Elephas maximus indicus: one gene and its partners. The protein of the gene in region 3 interacts with the protein of the main gene of each other region in a pairwise test. Links are inferred from orthologs where the notes say so. Each region holds a gene or a part of one and is shown on either strand. Other genes may lie near its edges.

Evidence for each region.
Region 1: the proteins of CEP70 (region 3) and ZCCHC10 interact in binary tests that used the Homo sapiens proteins (3 or more experiments, as listed by UniProt). The two-hybrid records come from large-scale screens. The link is inferred for Elephas maximus indicus from reciprocal best matches to the Homo sapiens genes CEP70 and ZCCHC10.
Region 2: the proteins of CEP70 (region 3) and zinc finger protein 234-like interact in binary tests that used the Homo sapiens proteins (3 or more experiments, as listed by UniProt). The two-hybrid records come from large-scale screens. The link is inferred for Elephas maximus indicus from reciprocal best matches to the Homo sapiens genes CEP70 and ZNF227.
Region 4: the proteins of CEP70 (region 3) and TAF1D interact in binary tests that used the Homo sapiens proteins (3 or more experiments, as listed by UniProt). The link is inferred for Elephas maximus indicus from reciprocal best matches to the Homo sapiens genes CEP70 and TAF1D.

What each region holds. Positions count from the first base shown.
Region 1 is NC_064820.1:124,405,539-124,412,691, forward strand, and holds the start of ZCCHC10 (zinc finger CCHC domain-containing protein 10), read left to right. Parts: upstream 1-4,139; 5' UTR 4,140-4,169; coding exon 4,170-4,210; intron 4,211-7,153.
Region 2 is NC_064829.1:106,444,267-106,451,772, reverse strand, and holds the start of zinc finger protein 234-like, read left to right. Parts: upstream 1-4,502; 5' UTR 4,503-4,592; intron 4,593-7,506. UniProt on the Homo sapiens protein: May be involved in transcriptional regulation.
Region 3 is NC_064844.1:38,736,381-38,743,376, reverse strand, and holds the start of CEP70 (centrosomal protein of 70 kDa), read right to left. Parts: upstream 3,006-6,996; 5' UTR 2,920-3,005; intron 2,819-2,919; exon of another isoform or gene 2,578-2,818; intron 1-2,577.
Region 4 is NC_064825.1:27,237,892-27,245,363, forward strand, and holds the start of TAF1D (TATA box-binding protein-associated factor RNA polymerase I subunit D), read left to right. Parts: upstream 1-4,454; 5' UTR 4,455-4,558; intron 4,559-4,570; exon of another isoform or gene 4,571-4,880; intron 4,881-6,707; 5' UTR 6,708-6,786; coding exon 6,787-6,851; intron 6,852-7,472. Other genes in the region: C7H11orf54 (ester hydrolase C11orf54 homolog), read right to left, coding at 49-103. UniProt on the Homo sapiens protein: Component of the transcription factor SL1/TIF-IB complex, which is involved in the assembly of the PIC (preinitiation complex) during RNA polymerase I-dependent transcription.

The DNA of each region.
Region 1 (7,153 bases), on a different chromosome or scaffold from region 3:
GCCTTTAAGCCTGCCTCATAAAGGTTAGGATTTACAACAGATAGGATAATCACATCAGATCACAAAATGGTAGACAACCACATAATACTGGGAATCATTGCCTAGCCAAGTTGACACACATTTTGGGGGGACACAATTCATTCCATGACAGGCCCCTATGTTGAACTTTCTAGGAGCTTTTAGTTATTTCTCATACGCTTTCTAGGTGTGCAATCAAATAATCACAAATGATGTCATTTGCTTCCTCCTTTCGATTTGTTGTATCTCTTATTTTGTCTCCTGCCTTTTCATGTTTGCTGTAACGCAGTTTTTTTTTAAGTTTGTTGACAGCTAAAAGAGATTTTAATAACATTTTGTGGGAAACTTGAAAATATGAGAACAAAGCTCGTTTAGAAGAATAAATGCCTAAGAGCAATACAGAAAATTGAGGAAAAAGGAGGGTATATTAAGAGGGATTTGCCTTACCAGGTATCAAAATATCCTATGCTGTTGTTGTTTGCTGTAGAGTCAATTCCAACTTAAAGAACCCCATAAAACAGAGTAGAACTGCCCAATAGGGTTTCCCAGGCTGTAATCTTTATGAAAGCAGATCGCCAAGGATTTTCTTGTGAGGAGCTGCTAGTGACTTAAACAGCCAACGTTTCAATTAACAGCCAAGTGCTTAACCATTGTGCCACCAGGGCTCCTTAAAATATCCTATAGAAGCATGGTAATTAAAACAGTAGAAGTCCTGGCACAAATAGATTTTTGGAAGAAAATAGAATGCATAGACTAAATTTGTCCGTATTTAATACACGAAAGAATGGCATTTCAAATCAATAGAGAAGTGATAGATTATTTAATAAATGGTATTTCAGTAACATAAAAATTAGGACTAAGGTAAAACCATGATAACAAAACTGTATTACAGTTGCAATTATATAATTACAAAAAATATATAAATAATCTTTGGACATAAAAGGCCATTCTAAAAGTGGTCCAAATCTGGGAATCCATAGAGGAAAAGACTGTTAAATATGCCTATATAACAATGCTAAAAAAAAAAAAAAAAAAATCCTCCATAATGGTAAATGATCACAAAGTTAAAAAGACAACAGACAAATTAGGAAAAATATTTGTAACCTATAAAATAAAGGGTTTATTAATAATATTAAAAGTTTCTACAAATAATTTGAAAATTCAACAGGAAAATAGGAAAAAATTTGAACAGACAATTCATGAAAGAAGTACACTGTATCAATGATAATTACAAAAGGTACTTAATATATTGGCTTAGTTTGGGTTCTCTAGAGGAACAAAACCAATGAGATGTATATATGTGTGTATATATATGTATATATACATATAAAACTTCCATTGCCATCAAGTCTATTAGTGACCCTATAATACAGAGTAGAACTGCCCCAAAGGGTTTCCAAGGAGTAGCTGATGGATTCTAACTGCTGACCTTTTGGTTAGCAGCTGGCCTCTTAGCCACTACGCCAGCAGGGTTCCATATATGTATGTAGATGTACCTACATCATATCTATATCTATCGTATACATATCTATCATATCGTATCTATATCTGGTGGTGCAGTGGTTACGAATGCAGCTGTTAACCAAAAGGTCTGCAGTTGGAATCCACCAGCCACTCCTTAGAAACACTATGGGGCAGTTTTATTCTGTCCTATAGGGTTGCTATGAGTCAGGATTGACTTGATGGCAATGGGTTTGTTTCATTTTTGTAAATAAAGAAAGAGAGAGAGAGGAGTTGATTGATTTACTTCAAGGGATTTGCAAATGTAATCGTGGGGCTGGCATGTCCAAAATCCATAGGCCAGGCAGCAGGCCAGAGGCTTCTGCAGTCTCACATTCCAAGATCCACAGACCAGGTGATGAGGTAAGTGCAGGGTCAAAAGAAAGAGAGAAAGTGAGCTCTGCCAGAATATCCGTTTATCCAGTACCAACTGATTGGTTGATCATATCAGATCACATCACAGAAAGTGATTACATTATGGAACAGCAACCAGTCCAATATCTGGCCAAACCACTGAGAACCATAGTGTAGCCAGGCTGACATAAAAAATTAACCATCACATATATGACTTATTAGATAGCTATAAGTTTAAAAGTTTGACCATTCTCTCTTAAAAACTTGTGAGCAGCCATCTAAGATACTCCACTGGTCTCACCCCATCTGGAGCAAGGGAGAATGAAGAAAGTCAAAGATACAAGAAAAAGATTAGTCCAAAGGACTAATGGAGCACAACTGCCATAGCCTCCACCAGACTGAGTGCAGTACAACTAGATGGTGCCCGGCTACCACCACTGACTGCTCTGACAGTGACCACAATAGAGGTTCCCTGACAGAGGTGGAGAAAAATGTAGAACAAAATTCTAATCACAAAAAAGGACTAGACTTATTGGCCTGACAGAGACTGAAGAAACTCTGAGAGTATGTCCCCCGGATGCCTTTTTAGCTCAGTAATGAAGTCACTCCTGAGGTTCACCCTTCAGCCAAAGATTATACAGGGTCATAAAACAGAACAAGACTAAATGGGGACACCAGCCCAGAGGCAAGGACTAGAAGGCAGGAGGGGACAGGAAAGCTGTAACAGAGACCCAAGGTCAAGAAGAGGAGATTGTTGACATGTCATGGGGTTGGTAACCGATGTCACAAAACAATATGTGTACTAATTCTTTAATGAGAAGCTAGTTTGTTCTGTAAACCTTTATCTAAAGTACAATTAAAAAAAAGGAAAAGTTTGACTATTCTCAGTTCTGGGGAGGAAATGGGTTTGGTTACCACCTATTTAAAGGGCAATCTGCTAGTATCTATCAATAGTGTACATACCCTTTGATCCAGCAATTCCACTTGTAGGAAGTCACCCTACAGAAACATTTAAGCATTCATTCTGTTCCTTCCATCTTTGCGGTAAATGATCCAATTGTATAATAATAGGATACTGGTTGGATAAATTGTGGAACATCCAATCTAAAAAAAAAAAAAACCAGTTGCTATTCACTTGATTCTGACCTCGTAGAGACCCACAGAACAGAGTAGAACTGCCCCGTAGAGTTTCCAAGGAGCGCCTTGTGGATTGGAACCGTCAACCTTTTGGTTAGCAGCCATGGCACTTAACCACTACCCCACCAGGGTTTCCAAATAATCTATATAATGTAACAAATAGAAACAATGCATTAAATTTGTATGTGCCGATATGGGGAAAATGTCCGTAATACATTGAGGAATATAAAAAGCAAACTGAAGCACACAACAGATAGTAAGATATCATGTGCTCCAAGGTCACATCAGCATCCTTTCAACTCCCAAAACTAATCACTTGTAACCACCTTATACTGAACTACTTTTCTTTGGAATGCTGTACTTCTGCTCACTGGACAGTCTTCATGTGTTTGCTTACTGTCTGTGGAAAGCTCCATGTGCACAAGGACTTTATTTTTTCAATGCTCTATCCTCAGTTCCTAAAACATTTTAAGTGTCTAATAATTAATTCAAAAAATATGGAGTAACACAGATATATATATATATATATGAACTTTATGTTTCAAACAATGTGGATTTAAGAGAATATCCCCATGATCTAATGTTAAATATATGTACAGCTAAAATATAATATTTGTGTCATCGTTTTCCAATTGACAAAGTTTCACTTATATAGTCTCATTTGGCCCTTACAACATCCCTCTGAAATACATAAAAATAATTAACAGATGCTTGCACTTCACGGTTTGTTAAAGCCATTCTTTCAACTGATGGTCACAGACCTGTTAACTTATCCCTTCCTGTTTACTTGCAAGGCTACTCCTAGTTTTTAGAACACTGCATACTGTCTTTGTATATGGAGTTCCGTAGTTCCAAAATGTTCTTCCCTGCCTCCGCATCCCCGCATCATACGTGTACTCATCCTTCAAAACCCACTTGTAGGCCCGACAGCTGGCCTCCCCGCTCTTCCTCAAACTCAGGGACCCACACAGCAGACACCTGCGATCACACAGCAGACACCTGCGATCACACACCACCCACTCTCTGTAACTGGAAGCTGCCTGAGAGACACTCGAGGCCCGTCTGGCTCCGCCCACGTCTGCGGCCTCCGGGGTTCGAAGTCTCCGCCCCCTCCGAGGAGTTTCCCAAGACCCAGCGCGGCACTTCTCAGCCGCGCTAAGATGGCGACTCCCATGCACCGGCTCATAGCCCGGAGACAGGCGTAAGTAAGGGACCGTTTCGGGCCCCAGGGTGAGCTGGAGACGAGGAGATACGCGTCAACCGACTGATGAGCGGGCGCTGGGATGCGGGGCCGTTTCTGCATCCCCACTGGGGACCGGCGGAGGGTGGGCGTTCTTTTTACACGTCACCTGCTCTCGAGGGTCTCGGGCCCGGGTGGTTAAGTTTGGTGCCCACTGTCTAGCGATTTCGCGGAGGACGACGTACGCTTATATAAGGTCCACGGGTCTGGACAGAGGTTGGTTTGAGGAGAGCCGCCGCATTTGTTTCCTCTGAAGGGGACGCCCAGGAGTTGGTTACTGAGTGGTTTCGTGACGGAGAGTGTGCCTCTCAGCCCACTCAGTCGACCACCCTACGCACGACCAAGGGAGGCTTGAAGCTCTGATCGGACTCCACCACTCTCGCCGAGATACCCTTCAGCCCCCTGTGAAGTCTCAGCTCAGCTGACTTTTCCTGCCCCCTCACTATCGACTTCCCTACAAGCGGCAGAACTGTAAGGCCAACTTTTCTCCCACGCTATCCCCTGGTTTTCTACCATTCATGTACTCTGTCAACAAACGTTTATTCAGTACCTACTGCTCTGTGCAAGAATTTGAATGTAAAAAAAAGAGGTGTTCCAGATAGAATCCCTGCTTTCAGGGAGCTTACATTCTAGTGGTGGAGATAATCAATAAACCAAACAAATTTAGTAAGTACAGTTAGTGATGAGAACTTTAAAGGAAATAAAGTAAGATAAAAAGGAGCCCTGGTGGTGCAATGCTTAAGTGCTCGGCTGCTAACCTAGAGGTTGGTGGTTCAAACTCACCCTTGCTCTGTGGAAGAGGGAGGTGGCAGTTGGCTTTCCTAAAGATTTACAGCCTTGGAAACCCAGTGGGGCAGTTCTACTCTGTCCCATAGGGTCTCTGTGAATTGGAATTGACTCGATGGCAAGGGGTATGGTGTGATGTGTAAGAGGAAAAAACCCACTTAAAATTGGGTGAACTGAAAAGGCATCTCTTAAAAGGTGGAATTTGAACAAAGATTATAAGGGAGGGAAAGGAGGCAGTCATGAGCAGACTTGGGGAAGAGTATCCAGACAATGGCATAATTGCTTTGAGGCTGGAAAAACTTAGTTTTAAGAACTGAAAGAAGGCCATTGTAGCCCATGGGCAAGAGAGAGTGGAACAAGCTAAAATTACAGCGGTTTGTGGCAGACATAATGCAGGAGCCATCCCAAATGTCCCCTTCTTGTAAAGCCTTCTACCAACATGCACACAAACAACCTCAGCCCCTTCATTCTCTCATCATTTCATGCCATCACTGTGTGCACATCTCTAATGCATAGATCACCATATATATTTGTTTATAGTTCTTTTTATATTTACATTTCTAATCTCAGATCCCTGTTCTTTCTCTTTTCCTCTTCATCTGACCCTACTCTCATGAGGAGCTCAAGGAGAGCGTGTAAGGATAAAGACTCAGGGAGTTAGAGAAGTAAACTTGGTTGAAGAGAACTTCAAAGTCACACAGTTCTGAGATCAAGAATGAGGTGATAATAATACTTAATAGGACTGCTAAGTGATGTCACCAGGGTCCCATATCTCCCTGTCTTTCTCTAGTGTGCTCTTTTGGGTGTTGGCTCCACACTTGGATAGGATCTCTCCTTTGGTCCCAAGATAGCTGCCGTATCTAGGGTCCTTTTATGTCCTTTCAGCTTCAACTCCTTCAAATAAGGCAAAAATGATTTTATCTCATTGGTCTTGATTGTGTTACATGACCAACCCTGAACCATGTTTTTGAGAATTGTGAAGCCCTGATTGCCCTAGATTGCATTCGTCGCCCAGTACAATTGGCCATTTTACCATAAACCAATGATGAGCTGGGTGGGAAGGTCAGAAGTGGTGAATGAATGCCGGATTGGCAAAACTAGCCTATGTCTACTGTAAATATGAAGTAAAAACAAGACTTTAGCAACCAAAGAAAATTACCGTTTGTTTTTCACAGTATCAGAAAGATTAACAAAGGTAATGTTTCTAGAGTGTGCCTGGTTTTGGTACATAAGCCACACAGAAATAGAAAACAAATCTTACCTTTAGGAGCTTCTGGTCGTGTTGGGAAGAAAACATGTGCTGTATAATAAAAGATGGTGTCGTATATAGACTAAGTTACCCAGGGATTCAGAGAAGAAGGTACTTTATAGGCTAGGGGAGTCCAGGAATGTTTGGAGAATATACAAGAGTGGAGACAGCAGGAGAGGAGCCTTTACTTTTCATTTTATATTCAACAAAAAGATTTCATTTTATGTATAACGGGCATATATTACTTTCATAATAGTAAGTTTAAAACTTTGTTTTAGGGTTATGAGAAGTGAGGAAGTATATTGTTTTCATTCTTTAATAAACTTTCTGGATTAATAGACAAGGGGTGAGGGTGGAGAGGAATAAAAGAAAAAAAAGAAAGTGAGCCTAAATTTGAACTCCCCATTCAGTATATCTTCCTGGAACTTTTTATTATCAAGCTCCTTTAAGTCAGTTGGGATGAAATTACTTCATCTTGTGAATTATAATGACATCTGCCCATACGTAAGTAGATTGTAGAATCTTGGCACTATCCACTGTCTTCTACTAAACCCTCTACTGGTTTCCATTATTTGCTCGTCAGCATCCAGAGTAGCCATCTAATTTTGCCTTGAAGACGTCTAGTAATGACAAACTCACTACCTCCTGAAGTGAGTTGTTACACTTTTCAAGTCTGTCCAAAAGTTTATGTTGAGCTGGAAGGAAAAGAATATTTATGAAGGCAAAACCTTCTAACTTCCCTGCTTTTGACCCAAGCTGTGATTTCAGTTAGTTAAAAACCCTAAGTGTTTCCCACATGAACTGGCATCAAGTCTGGCCTCCCCTGTCCTGTATTTGTATTGATTTTCTGGAATTCAGTGTCAGACTTA
Region 2 (7,506 bases), on a different chromosome or scaffold from region 3:
CTGGATTCACCATGGATTTCTGAGTCTCTGCATTTCCATGAAGGCTTTGATAGGATTGGATTCTAATTGCTGTATATTTTTTTTTAATGAAAGCTTTTTACGTATGGTCTATGCTGAAATTGAAAATTTCATCAGATTTATTCACTGTTGGTACGGGACTGACATTTTCATGCTTTCTCTGTTGGTGGTAGTAAAAGCATGGTTTTGTATAGGAGTATACATCAGAATGTGCAATATATAGCTCTGATCTGGGAATCTGTGATCAAAATTTATGATTAAGAGATTAAATCATTGAAAACAAAAGTGCCACATCAGTGATGCCCCTGACTTTTTAAAACGGAAATAAAGTGTTCATTAATAGGAATTTGACTTTTGATATATTCCTGTAATAATATGAAACCATTAAAATGAGGGTATATTGTTGTTAGTTGCTGTCAAGTTGATTCTTACTCTTGGCACTCCCATGTATGCAGAGTAAAACTGCTCTGTAGGTTTTTCAAGGCTGTGACCTTTCAGAAGCAAATCTCAAGGCCTTTTAAGGCATCTCTAGGTGGGTTTGAACCTCCAACCTTTTGATTAGTATTCCAGCACTTACCCATTTGCACCACCCTGGGGCTCCACTGGAAACCCTGGTGGCGTAATGGTTAAGTGCTACAGCTGCTAACCAAAGGGTCGGCAGTTCAAATCTGCCACGTGCTCCTTGGAAACTCTATGGGGCAGTTCTACTCTGTCCTATAGGGTCGCTGTGAGTCAGAATTGACGGCACTGGGTTTGTTTTTTTGGGTTTGGGACTCCATTTAACAGATAAAGGACTAATATTATTAATATATGAAGAAAAATTCAGAATTTGAAGGTGGAAAGAACAAACCTCAATAGAAAAGTGAGCAACAAATTGGAGAGATGGTTGACAAAAACATGTATTAATTGCCCTTGAAATATGAAAAAATGTTGCACTTCACTCAAAATAAATGCAAACTAAAGCTACATTGAGGTACCATTTACTACATTGAGGTACCATTTCTTACCATTCTGTTGGCAAACTTGGCAAAAAGCTACTCTCACACATTGCCAGTGGGAATGCAAACCAATATGGAGGGAAATTTGAGAAGATGCAAAAAAGTACATATGTATATACTATTTGACTCTGCAATTCTAATTTTATGAATTTATCCTTAAGATGTATCTTCAGCAAAGAGAAAAGATAAATTTACAAGGTTGTTTATTGCAGCATTGTTTGTAATGAGAAAATGTTGGAAGTAAATGCCTATAGAGAGAACCACACAGTGGAGTATTATGCAGTTGTAAAAAGAATGTACTTAGATGAAGTGATTTGTAGGATATACTGTTAAGTGAAAAAAGCATGGTAATTTTGTAAAGGAAAATAAAATCTACATATGTCTGAATCTTTTCTGAAGGAAGAACTATGGGAATAATAAACCAGGAAATAGTGAAATTGGTTACGTACAGTGGTTAAGTTAAATGGAGGAAGTGCTGGAGGAGTGAGAAGGGACTGGAAGCATGGAGTGACCCTAATGCTCAGCTCTTGAGCAGGTATAATTGCTTGGAGATGTTGTACAATATGTTAACGTCTGAAACTGTTTTCACCTCCAAATGGGTATAATAATAACCATGAAAAGTTTAAAAGAATTAACATGGCTTTACCATGAGGCCACTGTTGCCGTTTGGCCCTCTCAAATAGTGTTTTTTTTTTTTTTTTGCCAAACGAGTAGTAGTACCACAGGGTCCGGAGTAGGGGTTGGTACCTTCTGTGTTGCTTAATGCCCTTCTGAAGCCTTTCTACCTTGCCACTTCTTTAAACGCCCTGTGTTAGCCTCATACCATCATATTATACTGGCTATTATCTTAATTCAGTTAACTCCTGCCCTCTAAGAAGAGCATTCCCGTTAACTCCTTGGCAGTTTTATCTCCTGGCTCAATATTCCTTTTGCAACAATACTCCTGCCATAGTTAAAGGTATCTATGTCGTGACTATAAAATACTTTTTGCTCGAGGATTCAGGGAAAGGTATGCACGTTCTCAGCGTAGTGAAGCACGTTACCCCCCAGGAGGTCGAGATTTTGGGCTTTGTTCCTTTCGGCATTGTGGGAAGTGTAGTCCAGGAACTCTGTATTAGCAGAAGCATTTCCTCCCCCGAAAGGATGCGGTTACTGACGTTCCTCGCCCTCGGGCATCCTGGGAAGTGTAGTTAGGCAGCTCGGCGGAGTTGGGGCGTTTCCTCTCAGACAAGCAGTTCTGAGGAATTCTGGGAAACGTATTCCAGAAGCTCTGGAGTGGCAGGCGCTTCTGCCCGAGCAGTGAAGTTCCTGCCATCTTCCCTTCATACTGGTGCTTCAGTCTTGGCCTCGCGACTCTTTCGAAGTTCCTGGATCTGCGCTGGGACACGCAACGACCCGGACACAGACTTAAGGGAAAAGAAGTGGTGGCGCAAGCGGAGGTTTGAGAAACCAGGGTGGCGGTTTACGTTCCCTTGGCGTAGCCGCTTGCGTTTCGAGCGGTTCGCGCGGCAAGTGTTGGTAAGGGGTTCGGGTCGTTAGTCCCCTGGTTTGAGGGTCTTCCCGGCTTTCCGCTCCCCGCAGCGGTCTCCATCCAACTTAATCCGCGCTGCCACCACCTCACGGCATAGCGGGCGAGTTATTTAATCTTTTCGTGTCCTCGGTTGCTTTTCTGTAAAAAGAGGATATTACTATTCGTAATAGAATTGTTTCGAGAATTAAAAGAGGTGGTACAAATAGAAGTCTTAGAACAGTTCGTGGCTCATGGTAAGTGGTGGTATCCGTTGTTAGTACTATTTGATTTCCCGAATAGCGCTCAGTTCTCTGAAACCTGTGAAGCCAGAGCTTCAACTACAGTCGCCCTGGCGCTTCTCTGTGATCCCTGCAGGAAGCTGATCTTCAGGAATGATCTGACCCCTTTTTTAGAAAGGATGGGTTGCTTCTAGCTGGTACGGCGTGAGGAGAATTAACTGTGGTTTATCGGGGACAGCGAGGCAACCATTTCACAGAATTCTTTCCTCCCTAGCCCCGATTTCTCAAAAAGGACTGCAGGAGATGGAAAACTGATTCCTTGGCTACTGGCAAAGAGCCTCACGTGAGTAGGACTTGGTGTTCTAGAGATTTTCACATCTGTTAATGGGGAAGGAACAACTCAGAAAAGTAGGGTGAGAATGGTTGCGCAACTGGAAGAACGTAATCATTGTCCCTAAATGGTATATATAGAAAAGGTTGAATTGGTGTGTTTTGCTGTGTATATTCTCAACAACAACAAGATGAATCAAATTTTTAAAAGTTGAAAAAAAGATTTTCACATAAATCGTAGAATGTATGTGACATACACGTCCGCATGGGTAAGGATAAAAATTAAGCTTTAATTGCTAAGTTCGTTCTAATGGTTTTATAAAAATTAATACATTTATGCCACACCGTGGCTATGTGAAGGAGCCTTGGTGACACAGTGATTAAGCGCTCGGCTGCTAACCGAAAGGTCAGAGGTTCGAACTCACCAGCCTCTCTGTCGGAGAAAGATCTGGCAGGCTGCTTCCATAAAGATTTACAACCTTGGATACCCTACAGGGTTGCTTTAAGTCAGAATGAACTCAAAGGCAGTGGGTTTGGTTTTGGGGTTGGTGGCTGTGTGAGGTGGGTATTGCTTTTTTTCCTATTTTAAGGACGAGGAGATAAGAGTTATTTACCCATAGTCACCAAACTAGTAGGAGGAGAGCTGGGATAGGAACCAAGACCTTCTGAGTTCAGAGCCCGAATTCATAATTTCTGTGATATATACCCCACGAGCCACAGAAAACAGGAATGAAGTTAATTGTGGGAATCTTGTGAGTTTTTAAGGAACGTTCTCAAATATTTCATTACAAAAAATATATTCTATTTTTATAGAATTAAATCATTGTGGACAGTTCAGAAAATGCAGAGAAAAAGGTTTTTAATTACAACTCCAGGATGAAAAGATAGCAACTGTAAAGCTTGAAGTACGTTTTTCCGTAGTGGTTCTTTGTGTATTTACATATAAATGGTTCACAAAGGTTGTATCATATTTTCTATAATATTTTTATGCTTATCTTTTTAAATTATGGGTATTTCTAAACACTGCCAAGAAAGGAATAGACTAATGAATGCTATATATTGTCATCATTATCATCCTTATTATTATTATTACTATTTTCTGATTTTTTTTTAAATTATTGTATTTTAGGTGAAAGATTACAGCACAAATTAGTTTCTCATTCAAAAACATATGCAAATTGTTTTGTGACATGGTTGCAATCCCCTCAATGTGTCAGCATTGTCCCCCGTTCCCTTTCCACCTCGGGTTCCCCGTGTCAATTTGTCCAGTTTTCCTGGCCCTTCCTGCTTTATCTTTGCTTTTGGCCAGGTGTTGCTCATTTGGTCTCCTGTACTTGATTGAACTAAGAAGCACTTTCTTCACCTGTGTTACCGTTTGTTTTATAGGCCTGTCAAATCTTTGACTGAAAGGTGGACTTCGGGAGTGGCTTCAGTTCTGAGTTAGCAGGGTATCCAGTGACCATTGTCTGAGGAGTTCCACCAGTCTCTGTCAAGACAGTAAGTCTGGTCTTTTTTTGTGAATTTGTAGTTCGTTCTACATTTTTCTCCTGCTCTGTCCGATACCCTGTATTGCGATCCCTGTCAGAGTGGCCTGTGGTGGTAGCTGGGCACCATTTTGTTTTTCTGGGTTCAGGCTAGTGGAGGCTATGGTTCATGTGGTCCATTAGACCTTTGGAGTGATATTTTCCTTATGTCTTTGGTTTTCATCGTTCTTTGCTCCAGACAGGATGGGGCCAATAGATGTATCTTAGATGGCTACTCACAAGCTTTTAAGACCCCAGACACTACTCAACCAACTAGGATGTAGAACATTTTCTTTATGAACTGTGTTTTGTCATTTAAACTAGATGTACCCTGAGACTGTGTTCCCCAGTCCTCAAAGTGTTTGCATGTGTCTGGAAAGCTTCTATGACTTTGCCTTTGTCAAGTTATACTGACTTCCCCTATATTGTGTTTTGTCTTTCCCATCCTCAAAATTAACACTTGTCTACTGTCTAGTTAGTGGTTTCCCCTCTCCACCTCCCCATAACCATCAAAGATTGTTTATTTTTTTCCTATGTGTAAACCTTTTCTTGAGTTTTTATAATAGTGATCTCATATGATTTTTGTCCTTTTGGGATTGACTTATTTTACTCAACATAATGCCCTTAAGATTCATCTATGTTGTGAAATGTTTCATGGATTCATTACTGTTCTTTATTTTTACGTAGTATTCCGTTGTGTTTATGTACCATAATTTATTTATCCATTTGTCTCTTGATGGGCACTTAGGTTGTTTCCATCTTTTTGCTGTTGTAAATAATGCTGCAGTAAACATGGATGTGCATGTGTCTAATTGTGTGATGGCTCTTATTTCTCTGGGATATATTCCTAGGAGTGGGATTGCTGGATCATATGGTATTTCCATATTGTATTCCATAGTGGTTGTACCATTTGCATTCCCACCAACAGTGCATAAGAGTTCCAGTCTCTCTGCAACCTCTCCAACATTTGTTATTTTCTGTTTTTTTTTTTTTTTGTGCCAGCAATGTTGGGGTGAGATGATATCTGTGGTTTTGACTTGCATTTCTCTAATGGCTAATGATCATGAGCATTTTCTCCTGTGTCTGTTAGCTACCTGAATGTCTTCTTTGATGAAGTATCTGTTCACATCTTTTGTCCATTTTTTAACTGGATTATTTATCTTTTTGTTGTTGGGGTGTTGAAGTAGTTTATAGATTTTAGAGATTAGACCCTTGTAGGATATGTCATAGCCAAAATTTTTTTCCCAGTCTGTAGGTTCCCTTATGACTCTTTTGGTGAAGTCTTTTGATGAGCATAAGTTTTTAATTTTTAGGAGCTCCCAGTCATCTAGTTTATCTTTTGGTGTTTACACATTGTTAGTTATGATTTGTATTGCATTTATGTCTTATATTAGGGCCCCTAGCATTGTCCCTATTTTTTCTTCCATGATCTTTATTGCTTTATATTTAGATCTTTGAACCATTTTGACTTAGTTTTTGTATATGGTATGTGGTGTGGGTCGTGTTGCATTTTTTTATAGTTGGATATCCAGTTTTGCCAGCACCATTTGTTAAAAAGAATATCTTTTCCCCATCTAATGGATTTTGATCCTTTGTCAAAGATCAACTGACCATAGGTGGATGGGTCTACATCTGGGTTCTCAATTCTGTTCCATTGGTCTTTGTGTCTGTTGTTGTAGCAGTACCAGACTGTTTGACTACTGTGGCTGTATAATAGGTTCTGAGATCAGGTAGTGTGAGGCTTCATACTCTTTTCTTTTTCTTCAGTAATGCTTTGCTTGTCCAGGGCCTCATTCCTTTCCATATAAAGTTAGTGATGAATTTTTCCATCTTGCAAGAATGCTGTTGGTATTTGGATTGGGATTACATTATATTTGTAGATTGTTTTGGGTAGATTCAACATTTTCACAATGTGGAGTCTTCCTATCCATGAGCATGGTGTGTTTTTCCATTTATGTAGGTCTCTTGGTTTCTCACAGTAGTGTTTTGTAGTTTTATGGTTAGATTTATTCCTAAGTATTTGGTCTTTTTAGGGGCTATTACAAATGGTATTGTTTTCCTGATTTCCTTTTCGAAGCTCTCTTTGTTGGTGTATAGGAATCCAATTGATTTTTGTATGTTGATCTTGTGTCCTGCTGCTCTGCTGAATCTTTCCTTTAGTTCCAGGAGTTTTCTTATGGAATCTTTGGGGTTCCGTATAGTATCATATCACCTATGAATAGGGGTAGTTTTATTTTTTCCTTTCCCATTTGGATGCCCTTTGTTTCTTTTTCTTCCCTCATTGCTGTAGCTAGGACTTCCAGTGCAGTGTTAAATAGGAGTGGTGATAAAGGGCATCCTTGTCTTGTTCCCTTTCTCAGGGTGAACACTTGCAGCTTCACACTGTTGAGAATGATGTTGGCTGTTGGTTTTGTGTAGATGCCTTTTATTATGTTGAGGAATTTCCCTTCTATTCCTATTTTATCCAGAGATTTTGTCAGGAATGGATGTTGGACTTTATCAGATGCCTTTTCTGCATTGATTGAGATGATCATGTGATTCTTTTTGTTATATTTATGTGGTGGATTATGTTTTGTAACGTTTTGTTTTTATATAATTTCAGACTTACAGAAAAGTTGTGAAAATACTTTTAAAGAATATTCATATATTCTTTACCCAGATTGAGAAGCTGTTTACATTTCACTTCTTTGCTTTGTCATTGACCATTAGCCAAGTATGATCAAAAATATGCCTGAAACCAAAGACAAGTTATTTTAAATGTCTACAGCAAGAAAGCCCACATACCAGGGGAAATCATGGGGTGTCTTGTTAAGAGTCAGTTGGAAGGGATGGGTTATAGGGTTTTAGCATAGCATATTAGATGCTTTCAGATGTTATATTGTGGATTT
Region 3 (6,996 bases):
GGAGAGATGCAGCAGCAGCCTGGCTAGCAGCAGCAGACTGTGGTCACTGGCAAAGGCTCTGACACACTGCCCTCTGAGGCTGGCCCAGCAGCCAGAATACTTCACCCTGGGCTTGTTTCTAAAGCACTGATGCTGCCTCCTTTAACAATAATCATGTGGGGCTAGTGCTGGAAGGGCACGTGGAAAATTTTAAGTCTGTAGCTATCAGATGTTTGTAACATTTCCCTTTTATTTTGGTCTCCGATCATGCTGTTTAAAAAATGAGTTCAGAAAAATCAATCCATCAACAATTCTCTTTTCAAAAGGAGGTCCTGTGATAACAGACTATCGTGAATAAGAGTGTTTTTGGCTTTTCTCTTAAAATAAGTCTCTAGTGTCTATGGGCAAGTTGGTTGTGGGGCAATGTAGGAGGTTAGAGCAGCATCTATGCACTTCCTGGAAAACTAATATTGGGAAAAGTCAAAAGCAGGATTGGCCTAAATGAGTAAACTTTATACTTGAGTTCAATAATCTCACAATGGCTTTATTGAGACTTTTTTTCTTTCTATAACAGTCCTGTCAAGTAATCAGTGACTACTCCTACCTCAGGTGTCCTGGGCCAAAGGAATAAACCAAAAACCTGTTGCCATCAAGTTGATTCTAACTCATAGCGACCCTATAGGACAGAACAGAACTGCCCCATAGGGTTTCTAAGCCTGTAATTTTTACAGAAGCAGATTGTCACATCTTTCTCCTGCAGAGCTGCTGGTGGATTCACACTGACAACTTTTCAATTAGCAACTGAGTACTTTACCACTGTCCAGGGCTCCTTGCCCAGGGAATAAGATGTAGGTGGAAAATTCAACTCAAACTGGAATATTCCCCCAGTTCCAGGTATCCTAGAAGCTATACCCAAAGAAGAAACAGTGGCACATGACAAGCCAGCTGAGGAATCACAGGTTGCCTTGCCTATTTTGAATGCAGACATCGATGCACCTTGCTGGTGAGCAGAACCTGGCTGTACTCTGGTGTCCCTGGGCAAAGAACTCCTCCAGGCTTCTTGGGCTAGGCCTAGATTTTTCTTCAAGCACAGTACTTTCCTAATAACAGGCCCTGTTAACATGAACCTTTCAAATTCCACAGGCCTGGGCCTACAACTTCTAAAGGGCTTTGGGTCTGCCTACAAAATGGGGGTAAATATAATCTCTGGGCTGTTAGGAGAACTAAAGACAGCGATATCTAAGGCACTTGTCAATAAATTATAACCTATTGGTCTTGTAAGTGATATCCAGATCCTCAGGTTTTCTAAGAAAATGTGATGTTTAATTAAACAGTACCTTTGGGTTTTTCCTTGACCAGGGTTTCCTTGTCCTAGCCCAACAACTCAGGATTGTTTCTCAGAAAAGGAAATTAGGGAGGCATCTTAAACCAGCCTTGTCCCATCTCTTGGAAATTTTCACTCTGGAGCCTTTTACCTTTCTCCCAATCCATTCTTTCAACAGGGAAATACAAATATGAAAAGTCCTTGTTCTCAGGGAACTTTCAATACGGACAGCAAATAAGGAATCGACAGAATAAGCAGAATCCCTGTAACATAATTTGCTTAAGAATTCAGTCATTATTCAGTCATTATTACATTATATACCTGGAATTGGGGGAATATTCCAGTTTGAGTTGAATTTTCCACCTACTTCTTATTCCCTGGGCAAGGAGCCCTGGACAGTGGTAACCTAGACAATAGGTTGATCCCTAATGTCTCTCAACTCTCCGTTCACCCTGCCAACCCCAAAGATGAAACAATCCTCTCCATTAACACCAAGCTGCAAGAAGAAATTACACAATGGGGCCAAGCACAGTATGCTTGTAATCTGCTGGGCTCTCACAACCTTTCCAGAATCCCTTCACATGTCTCTGGTCTATTGCTGGGCCCACTGTCCACAGGGACCACTCACTAATCTCCTCAGATGGCCTGTCAACAACCTTCCTCACTCTCTGCAGGCGACAATGTCTCCTCCTGAAACATTACTCAGGACTGCTTTTCATGCACTTATTCAACAAGTATTTATCAGAGTCTACTTTGAGGTGCTGTGGTGGTGCAGTGGTTAAGAACTTGGCTGCTAACCAAAAGGTTGGCAGTTTGAAACCACCAGCCCCTCTTTGGAAACCCTATGCGGCAGCTGTACTCTGTATTACAGGGTTAAAATCAACTCAAGAGCAACAGGTTTGGTTTTTTTTGGACTGAGTCTGGAGTCCCTGGGTGGGGCAAACCATAAAACTGCTGGGCTACTAACTGAAAGGTTGGAGGTCTGGGTCTACCCATAGATGCCTTGAAAGAAAAACCAGGCAATCTACTTTCAAAAAATCAACCACTGAAAACCCTATGGAGCACAAATCTACCCTGACACACATGGGGTTGCCTGAGTCAGCGTTGACCCCAGGGCACTGGTTTGGTGGGGTTTTTTTCCCCCTATGACTCTGCACTGTGCAGATGTGGGCAGCATAAGAGCGGGAATCAAACAGCCATGGTTCCTAGTGTCCTGGACCTCAGTCTAGGAATAAGTCATACGTTAAGCAAACATTACACAAACCATTACATACCTTGAAAACGACCGAGAAGAATCACAGGTGCTTCAAGTCTTAAAAACTAGAATAGTTTTCTTTAAAAAATGCTATCTGAAGAGTAATCTCAACACAAAATGGAAGTTAACTAAAAGAAGCAGTGTGGAGGAGTATCCCAGGCAGGGGAGGGAGCATTTGCAGAGGCCCTGGGTGAGAAGGAGTTGGAAGCATTTGCCTTTCTAAATGAATCCAAGTAGGCAGGGCCTAGATCATCTATGAGGCCTCCTGCCTACCTTCTGGAGTTTTAGTCTTGAAACTAAAGAAGCAAACCAGAGTCCATAAGGATTTCAAGGAGAGAATGCCAGGATCAGGTCTACCTACCCTAAGACTTCAGAGCAGGCACTGGATCAGATTTTGCCCACCAGATTGTCCCTAGCGTCCAGCCCAGAGCCTGGCACACCGCTGGCTCTCACTAGCATTTGTTGGTTGCATGAGGGGATGCAGTGCAGGACTAGGTAATGTTTCGCGTGCGGATTGAGGACGGTCTGTGCAGAGAACGTGAAATCTCCCGCTGAGGCGGCGGGCGGGGGTTGGATCGGTCGTGCGGTGAGAAGGTGGTGGCCTGCGCCGAGCGCCCCGGGAGACCTGCGCCGAGCACCCCGGGAGACCTGATGCGCGACAAACAGCCGCGCGTTTGGGACTTGCGCCTGCCCAGCTTTCAGTGTCCGCGCCGGCTGCGTCCGGTTCTCGGCGAACGGAGCAAGTTCACGCCGTTCGAGTGGCCGTGTCGGAACCAACCCAGTGCCTAGCGCGGAGCCCCCAAGGGCCTCCGGCATCCACCGCGCACAGGTGAGACCCGCGGCCTGGGCGGGACCGCGGAGGGCCTGGCCCACCCTCCACAGCCCGGGCGCCCCCGCCCGGGACCCTGGAAGCCCCTGTGGGCAGCCCCAGGCGTCCCCGCAACCCGCTGAGCCACGGCAGCGTGGGCGGTGGCAGCCATCTCCTGGCGGCTGAGGCCGCGGGCAATGTCTGTGCGGACCTTGGGACCCTGCGGGGTGAGGCGCGGGCCGCGCGGGGTGTGTTCTGGACGTTTCCCGTCGGCCCGGCGAAGGCCCTGGGCGGCCCTCGGCTTCAGGCTTCCGGCTGGCAGAGGGCGGGTGTGTGGCGTCGGTACCCAGCCAGGCCCGGCGCCTCGGGCTTTTTACTCAGACTGTAGAAATAGTATTTGTTGCCGTCAAAAAAATATAATAGAAAAGCACAAAGAAGAAAGCAAATCAACCGAATCACTGCTCCCCCGAACAACTCCTGTTAACATTTAGGTTTATTTCCTTTCAGTCCATTTTACCCTGTAAGCATGAAAAAAAAAAAAAAAAAAAGGCATGAGCAGGGTTTATTTTGCAGAACCTGGATCTTGTAAGTGCTGTAACTTGGCTTCCTTTGCTTAACGATACATCATGCGTATGTACCCACGGCTATAAATGTTTTTCTACATTCTTTTTATTCGCTGCACAAGGCTATGCGTTCATGTGTGCCAAGTTCACCACCACATCCGTCCCTGGCGCCTGGCATGGGCTGGACTGTAATTTACGTAATAGATTTCCTGATGGTGAACATACAGATGGTTTTCAGTTTTTAGCTATTAGAAAAAGCAGTTCGTTGGGTATCGTTCTGTCTGCATTTTTGAGCATGATTATTTGTGTGGAATGAATCCATGAGTCTTATGGCCATACCTCAAGAAAGTTATTCGTGTATCCATGCCTCTAGTAGCATTTGGGAGTATCTGGTGCAGAGAGCTACTTGACAGACTTTGCTAGAGGACTCAGTGCTTTGCTAAAGGCCAGGCACAGGATGTGAGCAGCACCTGTTTGTTGAATGGGTGACTTGCCTTATGACTGGCCTTAGCTGGAGCTTTTGCTGAAAAGGCAACTCTGAGTTATCTCAGTAATTACTCCTTCTCCTCCTGCTTTAAACAACACTGACTTAGGTTTAGTTTGAACCAATCACTGCAGTCCCCAGTACAATTAACCCCAAGTCAAGGTAGAATTCAGGCTGGGGTAGTTAAATAAACAGTGTTAGGTTGCTAAGGAAGGAATTTTAAAAGATTGTGCTGATGGGTAAATCACTAGATACTAAAAAAAAAAGACTTTCTCTGAAGACATGTAAAAAGTTTCAGGTGATATCTTCCCCATCAGTGAAAATAATGAAATTTGTTTTTTCTCCCTCTTCATTTACATTTTAAAATCTCTGTGCTAAAATAGAGGGATTTTTTTGTATTTATCATTTCCAGTTTTGTCACATAATCCTGAAAATTAAATGTATATATGCCAGTTATATAAGATAGCGACCTTATAGGACAGGGTAGAACTGCCACATAGAGTTTCCAAGGAACGAATGCCTGGCAGGTCCCAGCTGCTGACGGTTTGGTCAGCAGCGGTAGCTTTAAAAAAAAAAAAAAACCGAAAAAAAAAAAAAAACCGAACCCAGTGCCATCGAGTCGATTCCGACTCATAGTGACCCTACAGGACAGAGTAAAGCTGCCCCATAGAGTTTCCAAGGAGCGCCTGGTGGATTTAAACTGCCAACGCTTTGGTTAGCAGCCGTAGCACTTAACCACTATGCCACCAGGGTTTCCAAAGCAGGCATAAGAGAAGAGAGAAGCAGGCATAGCTGCTGAAAATCATACAGAACCATAGAGAATTTTTTAAGCATGTAGTTGGCTTTGGAGTGCTTTCAGGTCATTTAGTAGGCATTTAGTAACTATTTGTGAATAAGTGGATTATGTTTTGCTCAGGATCATATTTTACAGACCATCCAGAGAATCCCTAGTTATGGAGGAAGTAAGCTGTCTTTTTTCTGAGGATACTCTTAAACGAAAAATCAGTAGATGGCCTAAAGTATTTTAAAGCTTGTGTAAGTAAATACCAATTTCTGTGCTTTAGTCTCTGCTGAGATTTTAGAATAATTCTTCATATTCATATTTAATTTTACTTTGTTTCAGACCATTAGCCCAAATCTCAGTGTTTTTTTTTTTTAAGTTCGCTAGAAGATTCACCAGTGGGCATATTTTATGTGTATTGATAAAAGGTCAAAACACAGATGTCAGTCTGTTAATCACTTGCATTTATGGCTATTAAGAGTGTGTTCTGCATGTTCTCCCCTGATTCTGAGCCAGGAGAGCAATTCCAATTAATTTTTAAAAAATTATTTGAAAAATACATGTAACAAAACACTTGTCACTTTAACTAGTTTAAGCATATAATTCGGTGACATTAATTTTGTTCACCATGTTGTACAGTCATCACCACTATCCATTTCTAAATGTTTTTCACCACCCTCCACAGGAACCGAGTACCCCTTAAGCCATAACTCCACACTTACCCTCCTCACAACCCCTCCTTACCAATAATGAACTTTTGTGTTTGTCTACTCTAGATATTTCATACAAGTGGAATCAGACAGATTTGTCCTTTTGTGTCTGACTTATTTCACTCAGCAGAAGTTTTTAAGGTTCATCCATGTTGTATCATCTACTTCATTTCTGTATATATTCCATTGTATGGCTATATCACATTTTGTTTCTTCATCTATTGATGGACACTTCGGTTGTTTCCACCTTTTGGTTATTATGAACACTGGTATACGAGCATCTGTTTCTTTTCCCCCTTACGATTTTTTTGGGTGTATACTTAGGAATGGAGTTGCTGGGTCATATGGTAATTCTGTATTTTACTTTTTTGAGTAACCGCCAAACTTTTCCACAGCAGCTATACCATTTTATATTCCCACTAACGATGAATGAGCGTTCAGTTTCTCCACATCCTCACCAATGCTTGTTATTGTCGTTTTTCTGATAATAGCCATCCTAGTGCCTGTGAAGTGGTATCCCGTTGTGGTTTTGATGAGATTTCCTTAATGACTGATGATGTTGAGCATCTTTTCACATGCTTATTGGCCATTTGAATATATTCTTTGGGGAAATGTCTGTTTAAGTACTTTGCCCATTCTTTAATTGGGTTGTTTGTTCTCTTATTGTTGAGTTGTAGAGTTCTTTATATATTCTGGATATTAAAACCTCATCAGCTACATGGTTACCAAATATTTTCTACCATTCTCTAAGTTGTCTCTACATGTTCTTAATAAAATCCTTTGGTGCCCAAAAGTTTTTAATTTTGATAAAGCTCAATTTATTTTGTCTTTTGTTGCTCATGCTTTCATTGTCATATCTAAGAATTCACAATTAATTTTTCAAGTGCTGAGATTTTTAGAGGGTATAAAAGTAACAGAAATCACAAAACAGTGAAACTTGTGGGATAAGAAAGAAGCCCAAAACAGAAGGCAGAGTTAATTTGGGGCATTTTTTTGCTAAACATTAAACATTATTTGTTATATTTGTTAATGAGAAACACCCTATATGGTGGGATCATGTGAAAAATTTTCTTTACTCCAGATGCATTATTG
Region 4 (7,472 bases), on a different chromosome or scaffold from region 3:
AGTACAGAATAGACACGGAAAAGGACAACGAGTTTCTATTGTATTTACCTCCAGCCAGCTCCTCCAGGCTTGGCACATGAAAAGGAGACTCGACACAAGCCATTTTCTTTCTTCTTTAGGTGTAAGGTTGTACAGATAAAGCTACTGCAGGCTAATTCTCACGAGAGTCCACAGTGCACCAAACATGAACAGCTGCTGATCTGGAATTGAACACTCAGAGTTTAGTTATTAAAAGAGGACAAAAGGGCATTTAGGTTTCTGTTCATACAGAAAGGCAACCATATCTCTTAACACTTTATTCTCACAAGCAACTCTTTATTAATACTGATATTTTAAGTCATTTTAAACAGACTGGGAAGGGGAAACTCCAAACCAAGAGATCACATGTGATTCATTTTTTTTAGTCATACACAAAGATTGACATGCGATTTAATGGTTGGTGTAAGGAATACAGGTCCTGAAGCAAAAGGTACTGGCAAATATTTCTATAATAGATGATTGGTGTGTTCTACTCTACATTTGACATTTAGGTTAAAAATTCAGTTCCTTAGAGTATCACTTTTACAAAAGAAAATCTAAAGTACTAAAAGAGATGGAAACTTCTAGAAATAATCAGCTTTTGAAATTCAAATTTTTACTTTCATTTACAAATATACGTTTTATAGTAAGCAGGTTTTTGTTCAATTATTCTGATAATCTTTAACCAATTATAATTTGGTATTTTAAAAATATATGCTAAGTGCATGTACCAATAAATAGGCATACATAAAAACATACACAGCGATTAATACCTTACCTCAAGGGTTCACATGATGAGGAGGTGTACCAGCAGAGGGAGATAAAATGAAGCCAAAAAAGACTCCACAAACAACAGACGCAATATGAAGTGGGCGGGTAATCCTACACTAGGCCAGTCACGACAAGGAATAAGAAAAAAAAACCCTTATGGGAGTTTCTAAGAGCACTGTTGTTCTTGTTAAAATTGTTAATAAAACACTTCATTAACTGGATTAGCCTCTGACTTTAACAAGCTTACTTAGCAAGTGAAAGGTTGGCCCCCCAACATCACTTGAAAAAAAAAAAAATTTTTTTTTTAATTCCCCAAAGATTCACAGGTTTCCTAGAAACTGGGTTTCTAGTTTTGATCATTTTTGACAAGTATTTTCTATAAACATAGTACTGCATACATTTAGCACTTAGTGCTTTATCATTTACCAGCTTTTATTTATGAGGATAATAAAAGCACTCAATATCTTTGTTTGCAGTAGAAATTACTCAAATGAAAATTCAAATATAATCCTAATTTTATACCCTTTACTAACTCTAGAAGGTCAGTTTTTTATTTCCCCACCCAAACAAAGTCCAACCCTGCAAGGCTACAGCCTGAATGATTGATTTAGAAATGTACAACTTCAGACAGGCCAACAGTTAGCACAGAAGGCAGTGTGGTAGTAGTATGTGTGTGTACATGTGTGTGAGGGCAGGGGGTTGTTAGGGTTTGAGTGATGAGAGCTAGGGGGTTAGAAAGGTCTTAATATAAATTCATAAAGGCTCCAAGAGGAAAGCCTTGGAGCAGATGTAGGCAAACAATATTTACCCTCCCAATACAATTCGTTGGAGTTAATGGCCCAGAAATTGAGTTTAGAATAGGGAATAGAAATAGGAGGCAGTTGGGTAAGTCAGGTTGCAGAAAGAACACCCCAAAAGGGTAGACCAACTATGGCAACCAAGCTACCATTTACTGAGCGCAGCCTTATACCAGACATTCTCTCAAAACCTCTCACGACCATGACAGGGAGGTATTATGTTTCTCATTTCACAAAAGAGAAAATAGGTCAGAGAGGATGTATTATTTATCTAAGTTCACTAAGTTGGCAAATGGCAGAAACAGAATTCCAGGTCTAGCCCACTATAAAACCAGAACTCATGACACTGTTCCACGCTGGTTAACTGGTGAAGGACTGATACATTTCAGCTGAAAATAAGGAATAATCTGTACAGAGTTATCCTATAGCACTCAAAGTATTATCTATGTACATCTGTTTGCTTGCTCTCTTTTCCATAGTTTGTGATCTGAAGATAGGATTATGTTTCTCATATCTGTATTCCAAGTACCTAGCATACATTGGGGGCCCTGGTGGCACAGTGGTTAAGCACTTGGCTGCTAATCAAAAGACTGGCAATTCGAATCCATCAGCCACTCCTCGGAAACCCTATGAGACAGTTCCATTCTGTCCTATAGGGTCACTATGAGTTGGAATTCACTCTGCAGCAACAGGTTTGGGTTTTTTGTTTTTTTTTTTGTAGCATACAGCGGGCATTACATTCACAACACACCAGACTCATAAAGCTCTGGTACAGGGCCAGCTTCACTGGTGTGCAACTAGTGCAGTCACACAGGGCCATGCACTCAGAAAGGCACTTGGTTAAATGTTCTGCTGTCACCATCTTGAAATTTTTTTTTTTTAAATAATTTTGTCTTCGAACTTGGGTTTTGCAAATAAACTCCAAAGAGACAACAGGGTATGCACAGGAGCAGAGGAGAGCACTGCGACATGCATGCCCACCATGGGTCCTTGCCACCACTTTTGCAGACAGCATTTGTGATGTCCTGTTTTTTTATAAGCAGCAGAGAAGAGCCCTGATGGTACAGTGGTTAAGAGCTTGGCTGCTAACCAAAAGGTCTGCAGTTCAAATCCACCAGCCACTCCTTGGAAACCCTATAAGGCAGTTCTGCTCTGCCCTAGAGGCTTACTATAGTCAGAATACACTAGATTGGAAAGGGTTTGATTTTGGTTTTTATGAGCAGAGAGGATCCCTAGTTAAGTGTTCAGCTGCTAACCAAAAGGTGAGCAGTTTGAATCCACCAGCTGCTTCTCCAGAGAAAGATGTGGCTATTTGCTTTTGTAAAGATTTACATTCTTGGAAACCCTAAGGTGCAGTTCTACTCTGATAAATAGCATTGATAAGAGTTGGAATCATGGACCCAAGATGCATGGGAATTCAGTAAGCCTCAAAATCTTTGGCTTCCAGAGTGTTGGCAGAACGTGCAAGTATCAAGAACTGAAATAAAAACAGTTGAGTTAGCTTTACACAGCGTTTCTACTGTTCTAAGGTATTTCTTACTAGAACAAAACATACATTTGTATGAGCTATGAAATACAAATTTTGTGACGTTTCAGTGATTCTGCCTAAGAGTTAAATGTTATTAGATTTGTATTTAATACTGGCATTGCACAATATAAAGATAAATGATAAAATTCATGCCAACAATTTTAAATTTTTATTTTTCTTTACTTAGAATGGCATTACACAGCAAATAAAAAACATAACAAGTCGAGAGAGACCACGGAAGGAAAAGCTTTTTCCCTGCTTTTTGAACACGGGACCCTGCATTTTCATTTTGTACTGGGCCTCATAAATTCTATAGCCGGGTATGCTCCTTGAACAGGGCAGTGTATAAGACATGCATAGACTCCGTGGGTCAAATGCAGTGGGCTGCCTACAGAATCAGACTTTCTATACCTGAAGCTGTTCGATATCTGGCGCCAAATGGGGTAAAGAGACCAGATTACCCTTAAAGTTCTTTCTAATCCTGGGATGACGCTGACTATAAACGGAGACTAGACAACATCACTGCTTATACAAGAAAGCGGAAAATAATCAAACCGACTCATTCTTTTTTTAACTACTTTGTGGAAAAAAAATCAACTAGTTTAGCTGCTGTACCTTAAACACTCCGCAACCGGTCAAGGAACTTTTTTTTTCAGGGGAGGAGGGTGAGGGAACTGCAAAAAAAAAAAAATTCCTCCGCGGGTAACTCGTGGTATATTAACCAACTCCTGGGAGGCTGACCCTTAGTTTAGAAGGAATGGTGAGGCTAACAAAACGAATCTGAAGGTGTCTGGAGGGAAACTGGGTGTGCTATGGTGTAAGACTGGAGTCCAGGACAAAGGTTACACATTTCGATAACGGTCAAACCATGAACCTTTCCCAATATTTTAACACAGAACAGATATTTGAAGGCAAAAGTATTATGTCAAAAACTGCCAAAAAGGGATGCTTCACATTCCTGAACAGAAACCCAAACTCATCTGCCAACCTAGAATTCTACAGCTTGGCATGTAAGAAAAACACACACCATCCGGTACCAGGCTTTAGAAAGTCAGACGACAGCAGGGCGAATGCGATACCACCGGAAACAATTCACGGTTTTTTTCCTCGCAGTTCACATCCATTCCGCTCCTTTCGCCCACAATTTGTTTTTGCCGTTTGTCAAAATATTTTTGGCTACTGCACTTACCTAATTCGGTCTAGGAAGCCTCAACTTAATCTTCACCGTTCCCTCCGACAACCCCACCTCCTGACGTCACGACCTCAGGCTCCGCCTACTTCTTATCACACCTCCCCTGGCGTTGATCTAAATGGCTCCGGGGAGTCTCATCTCCTCCCACCTCTCGCTGTCGCCCGGGTGTCCAGTTGTATCGCGAGACTTCGGCCCCACTCTTAGGCGGGTCGCGCGATAGCTCTTCCCTTTCCTCCGAACGGTTGGAGAGAGGTAGGCCGTTTTCTGCGCGGTGCCGTGTTGGAGCGGGAGGCTGCTGGGTGCTAGGTACAGACTTCAGGGACACTTCCGCCGCGTCAACCCGAGGCTTCTGGCCCGAGGCCTGGGCTGAAGTGCTTACGGGCGTTTGCTTCCTACCAGTCTGGTGGGCGGGGGAGAGGCCGCTGATCTAGTTTTCCTCGGGACCACCGCGTAGTTTGGGGAAATCGAGCGCTGGAAATCAGGCCCTGAGGGTGGAGGGCTTCCCCGGGCCTAATGGCCGGACAGAGTCCCGAACAATCGCGGTTATCGCCTGTGGGCCTGTTTCGTTGGTCTGGTATGTAGCTGTTAAGATGTATGCCAAACGCCGGCATGTTTCTGACGCCAGTTTTTGGCGTGCGGTTAGGTGTTCCCGGAGGCCTAGCCGAAGGTCACCCGGTTGTGAGTGGTCGTGGGGGTGCTCTGTGTTAGATCTGGCCGAGCGCTCTAGCTTGCCACGTGGCTTCGAAGAACCGCAAAATCCCTGGATGGGAAGACAAGTACGAATGCTAGTTGAGCAGGTTCTGATAAAGTGACTTAAATTAGCTTTATTTTGGTGAGTGCTCGGTGTGTGTGTGTGTGTGTGTGTTTTAATTCCAGGTATACTGTCAGGGTCCATTGGATCCAAATTTTTGGGGTTTTGATTTGGAGCAGTTGGTACTTCATAGCTTATTAGCGGTTTTAGAATTTTGCATTTAAAAAATCTTTAAAAATTCTGTTTTGAGATTACCGCATGGGTCCGTTGGGCAGTTTCACAAGTTTCTAGATTGCAGCACTTATTGTTTCCCTAGACTTGGAACATTTTGCTGTTTTATCATGACAATTTATTGCATCGTTACGCAGTTTGTCGATTTCCAAGTACGCTGAAGACTTGTTCTTTGTTGCCATCTGAGACCCCATGTGTTCAGAGTAGAACTGTGCTCCCTGTGGTTTTCAGGCTCCTCTGGGTGGGTTTCTCCCACTATCCTTTTGGCTAGTAGAGCACTTGAGAGTTTGTCACCCAGGGACTCCTATGTGCTAAAATAATACAAAAATAGAATGATGGCATCCTGTAAGGAAGATGAGCTTAGGAAATCATCTTTCAGTTTTTCAATTGCATTATATGTGAAGTATTGTAAAATGACAAAAACCAAATCAAACTCATTTCGAATCCAGTCGATTCTGATTCATAACAATCCTATAGGACAGTAGAACTGCCTCGTTGAGTTTCCAAGGAGCGGCTGGTGGATTCGAACTGTCAGCCTTTTGGTTAGCAGCTGAGTTATTAACGGCTGCGCCACTAGGGCTCCACAAAAGACACTAAAACCCACTGCCATGGAGCCGATTCTGACTCCTAGCGACCCAGTAGGGTTTCCTGTAAATCTCTAGGAGGCTGACTGCTATGTCTTAATTCCGCAGAGCTACTGCTGGTTTCACACTGCCAATGTTTTGGTTAGCAGTTATCACCATAACCACTTCGCCACTAGGGCTCCTTCAGTAGTCTGTTTTAGCCTTTCATTGAAAGAAATGAAAATTCACAATTCTCAGTTTCTGTGCATGAAGACAACATGGGAACGTTTACCAAAAAAAGGTTTCATAATTACTTAATGTTAAGAGACCATAAGTGAAGTCCCAGACCAGATGTTGAAAATGGTGATGGAATCCAGGTGTAAATGGTGATGACTTTTTCCTGGTGTACTGAGGCCTATTGAACCACAGTCTACCTTCTGGCAGTTTTTCCTAGGAGTTCCTATCTATCTTGGGAAATAACCTTTTGGCTATTAATTGTATATTACTCATGGCTCCTGGTGAAATTACAGTTTTTATTGGTAATTAGAATGACGTTGGATGCTTTTGCTGGGAATGACAGTACTTTTCTGGATGGTATCTTGTACCATTGAATAGATTTGGAAAGACAGAATAGAACCTGTCAGTGCAATTTCTCATTTTTAGAGTTTGATGTGAAACTGTTTTCTAGATGAGAAGCTTTTAAAGGCCTGTTCAATCAAGTGATTGTGCCTAAATTCACAGCTAATGGTGTAAAGTACTTCAAAATTTCCGGTATTAAGATACTTGCTATCTATGTGCTGAAGTTTAGTGTTTATTCAGGGAAGCTATATCACATCTACTGAATTTATATTTTCAGAAATTTATCCCCTTAAAGCAAGGAACGGGTGATGGATAAAACAGTCTGACTTGAGGGACTTGGAGTATTTATCTAAGGAATGGATTCTCCCAGCTACACAATGACATCTGATTTAGCTACTGCTGTAGAAATTGAGGATCATAGGTAAGTCTGCATTTTTAGATCAACTGTTACTGTTTTAAACTGGAATATCTCAGCAGTAGATTCCATTAATGTTTACTGTATTCGAATTACCAGGAAAACAAATCGTTGTAGATATTAGTAGTGGTAAGAGTTAATTTTCAGAAATTAGGAAAGATGAAAGAAAAACTTGATTTACACAGACCTTCAAAATTAGATTAAATCTATGTGATTTTATTGAGTTATTACAACTACTTTGATTCAAAAGTATCTGACTTCCTGGATAAGTTGCCTCATTTTTTTATATCAAGTAAATGGACATCAGTGGAGAATGTTGCATAAAAATCAACCCATTAAGATATTCCACATAATGTAGAATGCTGACGTAAGTATATGAATTATGTGTTTAGTACTTCGTGAATTGTGGGGGCTCGTCAGCATTAGTATATTCTCATCAAATACTTGTCTGGTATGTCATATACACCCCCAGTTGGGGGTCCTGGTGGTGTAGTGGCTAAAAGCTCAGGCTGCTAACCAAAAGGTAGGCAGTTTGAATCCCCAGAGTTGTGTGGGCCATTTTATGTAGGGTGGTCAGAACTCAATGGCTAGGTTACCCTGGCCCCATCCCTGCCTCTTCCATTTTTT